Sus scrofa: one gene and its partner. The protein of the gene in region 2 interacts with the protein of the main gene of each other region in a pairwise test. Links are inferred from orthologs where the notes say so. Each region holds a gene or a part of one and is shown on either strand. Other genes may lie near its edges.

Region 1 (4,243 bases), on a different chromosome or scaffold from region 2:
AAATTGCATTATAAACTAATTTGTAGCTATGTATCTATATTTAATAAAACAATTTTTTTTTTTTTTTTTTTTTGCTACAAAACGAGTAGGAAAATTCAGAGAGAACTGGGTACTAGATATGCATGAATATAATGGGTATTCTTGTTGGATACTGTATAGCACAACCTTGACCTTTGAGACTTTTCCATTTAAGATTGCAGCCTCTTCTGTTAAACCTCTTCTGTAAAAGAGTTCGGTTTTGTCAAAGCAACTAATATTTGGGAGCTATATTAGTTAATACTGTTGTCTAGGGAAATCTTATAATAATGGAGATTTAAGCAAGATAGACATTCTCTCCCTTATTAAAGTCTGGAGGAGGCCTTTTGGGACTGGTCAGTGTCAGGATCTAGGCTGAGTTTGCATTGTTCATCAACATGTATCTGCTTGAGCAGAATTTAGTCATATGGTCTTACCCGCCTGCAGGAAAAGCAGAGAAATTCATTCGGTCTTGATTCTTAGGGTCCATGCTCCCAACTAAATCTTGGGGATTCTATTACTAAGGAATAGCAGGACAGATAATAGAAGACAACTGTCAAGTCAAATCACTATAACCTAACCATATAGGTGCTGCATATTATACATTTTAAAGAAATGATTTTGGGGAGTTCTCTTGTGGTGCAGCCAGGTTAAGGATCCGGCATTGTGACTGCTGCAGCTCCAGTTACTTCTGTGGCACAGATTCAGTCCCTGGCCTAGGAACTTCCACATGCCACAGGCACAGTCCAAAAAAAAAAAAGTGATTTTACAGTATGTTTATTTAAAAAAATAAAAGGCTGGAGTTCCCGTCGTGGCGCAGTGGTTAATGAATCCGACTAGGAACCATGAGGTTGCGGATTCAGTCCCTGCCCTTGCTCAGTGGGTTAACGATCCGGCGTTGCTGTGAGCTGTTGTGTAGGTTGCAGACGCGGCTCGGATCCCGCGTTGCTGTGGCCCTGTGTAGGCCGGTGGCTACAGCTCCGATTGGAACCCTAGTCTGGGAATCTCTACCTGCCGCGGGAGCGGCCCAAGAAATAGCAAAAAGACAAAAAAATAAAATAAAATAAATAAATAAATAAAAGGCCAAAAATAAAAGGGTGTAATAGACCCCCCCAAAAGCATTGTGACTTGTTTTAGCTTATAGATTTTTCAGTGAGTTTTTGCCCCTACACTGTTCACATGCCTACAGCTCCCTCCATTATTATTTCAGTGACTATGGAATGATTCTTAACAATAGTGGGGAGGTCAGTGATTCTAAGGGTTTTTTTTTTAATATATATATAATTTTTATTTTTTCCATTATACCTAGTTTACAGTGTTCTGTCAATTTTCTACTGTACAGCAAGGTGACCCAGTTACACATACATGGATATATTCTTTTTCTCACTTATCATGCTCCATCATAAGTGATTAGATAATTTCCAGTGCATTGCCTATCCATTCCAAAGGCAATAGTTTGCATCTATCAATCCCAAATTCCCTAGTGATCCCACTCCCCCCACACCTTGGCAACCACAAAGAAAATCTAACGTTTTTTTAAAGTCTAAAAAAGCCTCTCTTTTTCCCATCCTTTTCCTCCTCCCTGTCCTGATTTTTTTGTTTGTTGTGTTTTCTTTTTAGGGATGCACCCACAGCACATGGAACTTTCCAGGCTAGGGGTCGAATCGGAGCTGTAGCTGCTGGCCACAGCAACACCAGATCTGAGCCACATCTGTGGCCTAAACCTTAGCTCGTGGTAAACCTTAGCTCATGGCAATGCCAGATCCCCAACTCACTAAGCGAGGCCAGGGATCGAACCCTCAACTTCATGGTTCCTAGTTGGATCTGTTTCCGCTGTGCCACCACAGGAACTCCATCCCTGTCCTGATTAAGAATGACCAATTATGAATTTCAAAGGTCTGCTGAACTGAACACAGCCAACGGGAGAAAGTATGGTAAATCTCAGTGGTGTGGGTTTCAAAGGAGCAGTGCAAGAGAAAGAGAAAATGATTGAATAACAATAGTGTAGGGCAGGAACACAGACCTCACTTTCAGCCATGGTTTCTCCAACTTCACTAATATTTTGATTTTGAAAATGAAATGAAAGACACATTAGTCTGGGGATATGCAAAAGATATCAGAACAATTAATTCAGTGGCTGTATATGGACCTGCATAGGAATGGAATGATGGATTCCTTCACTCTTAACCACTATGTCCTTTCTAATTTCCACGCTAAGATCTTGTGAAGCCCCGTGTAACTTTTATCATAACACTAGAAGAGAATATTTAAGTGTTCATTCCTAGAGCCAAATAGATTGAGTTCCCAAGGAAGATTTATAGCCAGATGACCTTGAAAAGATATAGTTAATGGAATCCATTGCAAAAAAGGATTAAAGATGATGTATTTCAGTAAAGAAATGAATGGATTTTAAAGGAATGGAAATGGAAAAAGTGAAAAAAAATATATAACTAGTTCTGCCTTCATGTTGTGTCTTTGATTTATTGACTAGATCTGATTCTGATTGTTTTTATTCTCAGAGAGAACTGAAGTACCTGTCCTCAAAAAGAGGCGTGAGGTGCTGCCTGTGGATATAACCACCCCTAAGGATGCTTGTGCCAACAGTGCTGTTGGGGAAGGCGTTTATAGATTATCACCTCAGAAAGAGGAGGCACCGGCCTGTCCTAACAGTTTAGAAGATAACAGCTCGCAGTTAGAAAAGACAGTTTCTATAAGCACATCAGGAGTCATTCTCTCTCCTCACAAAAATCTTCCCATGGATATTCAACCAAAGAAGGAAAAGAAATGTGTGAAACTTATAGGAGTTTCAAATGACTCTGAAGCCCTAAGTGAAAGAAGTGGAAACATCCCTAACTCTCCCAGGTCAGTGTCCTCTTTCCTTCAAGGCAGCGAGCAGACCTCTCCATCTCTTCTCTATCGCTGCATGAACTGTGCTATCTGTTTCTTTATCTATTTTCTTAGTATTGCATGTAGTATAATTCCCCGATTTCATCTGCCTGCCTTCCGATTTGCTAAAACATTAAGAAAAACTAAAATGATTGTAAAGGGAAAGGACTCCTGAATGAGGGAGTTATTTTTAAGTAACACTTTTCTGTGTCAGGAAGCAGAAATAACACAGTATAGTACATCTCTGAATGTTTTGTTGGTTTGAATAAATATACAGGGTTTTTTTTCTTTTTTTCTTTCTTTTTTTTTGTCTTTTTGTCCTTTTTAGGGCCTCAGCCACCACATGTGGAGGTTCCCAGGCTAGGGGTCTAATCAAAGCTATAGCCGCCAGCCTACACCAGAGCCACAGCAACGCTAGATTCGAGCCTAGTCTGCGACCTACACCACAACTCATGGCAATGCCGGATCCTTAACCCACTGAGCAAGGCCAGGGCTTGAACCCACAACCTCACAGTTCCTAGTCGGATTCGTTTCTGCTGCACCATGACGGGAACTCCACAGTTATTTTTTTTTCTGGTTCAAGAAGAGCTTGAAAGAAAAATTAGCTTACCTCCTACAAGGGTTTTCCATTAGTCTGAGAAGTTTCAGCCTTCCATAAAATTTTTAGGTGACATTTTTTATGGCTTTCAAAATTGTTTATCCTAAGCCTTTAAGAATGGGCTTTAATACCTGATTTGACATTTTTAAATATCAGAAGTAATTCATTTTCAATGTTTCTTTAATCTCTGTTGTGCAGCAAAGTGACCCAGTCACACACAGTTCCCTATGCTGTACAGTTGGACCCCATTGTAAATCAACTATACTTCAATAAAAAAAATTTTCAAAAAGTAATTCATTTTCAGTTTACATCCAAACTTTAAAGCCTCTAGTTTCTGCATATTTGAATCTGTGACTAAAAGAGGAAGTGTCAGACATGTGTGTCTGTAGGAACTAATGTTTTAAGGGCCTTACCCTTTAAGAAAAAGTTAAAATAATAGAGAACAGAAGGTGAGAGAAAGTGAGTGGAAGGGAAAGGTAGGTACAATGGCTGAGGTTAGGGTGGAGTAAGAAACACATTCTGGATATGTTTAGCAGGACCAAGAGTGGGCAAAAAAGTGAATGAGGAAAATGGAGAAGGTTAAAAAAAAGATGACAAAAAAATGAAGGATGTCTTTATGCAATGGAATGATAGATGTAATTAAAATAGAAATTTAAAAAATTAAACGTATCGCTGTGAAAATAGTTAGCTATGGATTGTCCACTATGAAAGGAGATCTTTAAGGTGCTGCTAGGGCTACATCAG
Region 2 (4,243 bases):
CCGAGGTTCCCCCCTAGGTCATCAGTCACCAAATTCTACTGATTCTACTTCTTTGTTATTTCCAAAGCCATTACCTTCCTCTCATGCCTCTGCCACAATCTTAGCACATCTCTGCACCGTTTTGGTCACGCTTTTTCTTTCTCACTACATTCCAGTGGCTCCTTGCTGTCACCCTCCCCAGCACAGCACCAAAGCCCTTTGCTGCAGGTCAAACCCGTGCCCCCCTTCTCCAGCTTCGTTTCATGTCACTGGCTGTTTACACTGGCAGTGGGCATCCCCAAAGGCACTGTGCTTTCTCTTGCCTCCTGCCTCTGCAGACATTTCTCCCCTTGCTGGCAATGCCCACAAACGCCCATGCCACATCCCTTTGCCTGGTTGGGAAAGGTCTACCAAATGGCTGAATCTCATCCAGGTGCCTTTCCTATGTGATCCCAGGCTGCGCATGCCATACCAAGGCACTGTCCTCATGAAATTATTGGGTTTTAAATGTGAACCTATTGCCTTCCCCCCCCCACGGTGAATTCTAGGAGGTCAGGGGTACGTCTTATTTGTTCTCCACCATCAATGCCTACTATGGTATCTTATACATACTAAATGTCAAGTAATCACCAAATGAATCAATGCATGAAATAATAAATTACCAGCTCAGTCTCAAAGGAGTAATATCACATGTTAACATTAGCCCACGTCAAGGATTAAAAAAAAAAAAAAATAGGACTACGACATAGATTGTTATTATATCCAGTAAATACTGTGTATTAACAGAGTCAATGACATTTAAAGGCCAGGAAATGTATCTCCAGCATCATAAAACATATTGTACATTAAAACTCAGTGCTTTGGGAATGCTTAGTCATCTAAGATTGTACACCACCTGCAGACTCACAGACATAGAGAATAGACTTGTGGGACCTTTTTTTTTGGAGTGGGGAGGGCACGAGAGCATTGGACTGGAAGTTTGGAACTAGCAGATACAAACTATTATATATAGAAGGATAAACAAGGTCCTACTGCATAGCACAAGGAACTATGTTCAATATCTAGTAATAAACCATAAGAGAAAAGAAAAAAAAATCCCCCTTGAGTTCTTTCACACCCCTTCCGGCTGGCTACAGGCCCACATGTAAGGCAAATCCAGAACTTTCCAGGGCATTCCAGAAGTTCTCCCTCACCCTCTGCATACAGAACCTTCCTGTGTAAGCCAAGGAAGAACTATTACAAAGCTCGAGTGTGGCTTGCAGAAATAACTGGCATTCTCACTTTACCTCCATTTCTCCTCTCCAATGCCTGGGAAAATCCATATAAAGGAAAAACTAGACGAATCAGAAGTCTGACTGTTTCAGTGACTTCTATTTACTCTATAAAAACTGACTTCTAACACCACAGATTGGGTATTATTGGCTATTTACTGGGTTTTGTTCATCCTTGACCTTTCAAATTGCTTTCACTGGTTCAAGGCACTGGACTTTCATCTGAAAAGGTGTGACTGCTCTAACTGACCCAAAGGGAGCCTGAGCATAAGCAGATGCTGCCCCTTCCCAGAAACGACATTTGACCTTCCTTCTGGAAGAACGCACTGCACTCACCTGTAGCTGGGATATCGTCAAAGGGTATCGGAATAATATCCAGGTCACACCTTCACTGCAAGGCGGGATAGTGAGGGAGCCTTCGTAAACCCAGTAATCCCGCAGCAGAGGATCTGTGCAAACCAACCACAGGGTATGTCATGGGAAGGCAAGGTAATTGAAAAAAATTTTGAAGATTCCAACCATTCTCAAAATTACAAACTGTCCAAATAACAGGCTGATGCCATTTTTAAACTAGAACCTCGCATATGTATTTTTAAACTGATCATAAGGAGAAAATAATCAGTAGAAAACATGGTGAATGCTCTTTCTATTATTTACAGTGATTTCTATCAATTAATTATATACACGCTTAACTATGACTATACAAACGGAATATACATAAACTTGATATACTATGTGATATATATACACACTTGATGTATATTTTATATATCAAGTTTGCTCACTTGAGGAGAAGTATATCCACAGTTTGGGGGGTTTTTTACCTTATTGGAGGATTTACCTGACTGATTGTACCTAATATTTACTGAATGTTTACTACATGTGAAATGCTCTTCTAAACATTTTACATTAATTAGTGAGATCGGTCCTTTTATTAGCCCCATTTCTCTGATGGGGAAACTGACTCACAGAGGATTATGTTATATGCCCAAGACCTCTGGGCTAACCAAAGCAGTCTGGTTTCAGAGTCTGTGTATTTAAATGACCTTTGAAAAAGTTGAGTTAAAATAAATATCCCTGTAAAATGCAACAAGAACAACAACTCAATAATCTGTAACTTCTGGAATTTAAAGTAAGAGATTGTGTGAATTCTTCCTGGGTGTGATAATTAGAGCCTTTGGGTCTTTTAAGAATGCTAAATCCTATGTCTAATTTTTTAAATAAAAACAAGAGACAAAAAAAAAAAAGAATCTACGTGTATAACCATTCTGGTCTAACTACCTCTATATTCTTCCTCAACAGAGAAACATTAAAATCATATTATAATAGAATAAAAGAAATCATTCTTATGAAACCTTTTAGCTCTCCGTGAGAGGAATTTGTGATTAAACATGATGGGCAAATATTCAACATATGGCAAAAACTGGTTCATTGTAGAGCAATTAAATGTAAAAAGGAGAAGATATAATGCATTCGGTTTCGTTTGGAACCCTAACAATTTTCACATAATTTAAGCAGAGAAGTGTGAAGATCATAATTTTATCCAAAACAACCTCTATCTAAAAAGTATACTCTGAGTATTTTGTACATACCTCTTACCTGTTCGGACATACCTAAGTATTTAGAATAAGAGCTAAAGAGCATGACTGCAAAGAGGTTATCTTTTAAAATTAGATATAAAGTTTATTTCATGCCAGAGATTAGTAAGAACTTCGCTGGCCAATCTTAGATGCACAACAAGGTTAAGTTATTATACTCGTGCTTTACACAGAGGTCATCACTTGCACAAATGAAAATACAAAGGAAACACTTTTGAAAATACAAACACAACACAATGGAGCTAGTGGCAAAGTATTTATTATATCAAAAGGTTTACTGCCAGGTTTAGAGAAATCTGAAATTGGTGCCAGATACAGAGAATATCAATAGTAGAGACACTTTATTAGCTAATAAGATATAGCTGTATATATCCTGAGGGTAACAAAGCAGTCATCTTCACAGTTCAAATTCATCTTACGCAGCCAGATGAACGCTTACCTGGTAATAAAGTGTTAGGATTAAAGCAGGGTATTGTTTTGGACTTCCCCTGAAAAAGAAAACAATGTACCCCCACATTAACATAAAATCTCTAAGTTTTAGAACAAAAAAAGTCATTAGCACTAAAAATCCAGGTTGCAGTCTTTCCTGACTGGCACCAGCAGACCCCATAGATTTGAGAATGTGTCCATGTGTCGTCTCACTGGAGCAACAGGGGCCGCTGGTTCCAGTAAGATACTCCTGCTCTCAGTCTGTAGCACTGTCTTTATGACCACCTCTCAATTTTCCCTAGAATCCCCAGTGTGAAACTGCAAACTGTCCAGTGTTTGTCTGTCCCAAGTCAGCTACCTTTCCTGCTCCTGGCACCTCCAGACCAGAGACGCCGGCCCTCGTTCAGGAAGTCTTTTGAGATGACTTTCCTCCTGGTTCTGTGATCTCTGTTCCCAACCTGCTTGTATGACAAGCTGCCTCCGAGTTCTCATTGTGCCCCATTTGGATGTGGTAACTCAGCTCTAAAATCCATCCTAGATGCTCTCCTGCTCCAGGGAAGAACTGCCAGTCAAATGAAAAGGTCGAATTTCCATACACATTTATCAGAACGAGATTTAAATTTCAAAAAATATTTGTGCCATCATTCACCAATTCACCTTTCTGATCACTAATTTTTTTTTTCTTTCTTTTTAGGGCACCACCTGCAGCATATGGAAGTTCGCAAGCTAGGGGCTGAATCAGCCACAGCCACAGCCACAGCCACTCTAGATCCAAGCCTCATTTGTGACAGCTTGCAGCAATGCCAGATCTTTAACCCATGAGAGGGGCCAGGGATCGAACCTGCATCCTCATGGATACTAGTTGGGTTCTTAACCTGTTGAGCCACAATGGGAACTCCTACTGATCACTATTTTAAACAGTCCCATTTAAAGAGTCAGGCCTAACAGGCAGCTGGATGCCTCTCA

What was found. The genes of interacting proteins can lie anywhere in the genome.
Region 1: the proteins of CA8 (region 2) and SPDL1 interact in binary tests that used the Homo sapiens proteins (3 or more experiments, as listed by UniProt). The two-hybrid records come from large-scale screens. The link is inferred for Sus scrofa from reciprocal best matches to the Homo sapiens genes CA8 and SPDL1.

The regions. Positions count from the first base shown.
Region 1 is NC_010458.4:54,278,930-54,283,172, reverse strand, and holds the end of SPDL1 (protein Spindly), read left to right. Parts: intron 1-2,534; coding exon 2,535-3,076; 3' UTR 3,077-3,251; downstream 3,252-4,243. UniProt on the Homo sapiens protein: Required for the localization of dynein and dynactin to the mitotic kintochore.
Region 2 is NC_010446.5:73,110,015-73,114,257, reverse strand, and holds part of CA8 (carbonic anhydrase-related protein), read right to left. Parts: intron 3,337-4,243; coding exon 3,288-3,336; intron 1,700-3,287; coding exon 1,587-1,699; intron 1-1,586. UniProt on the Homo sapiens protein: Does not have a carbonic anhydrase catalytic activity.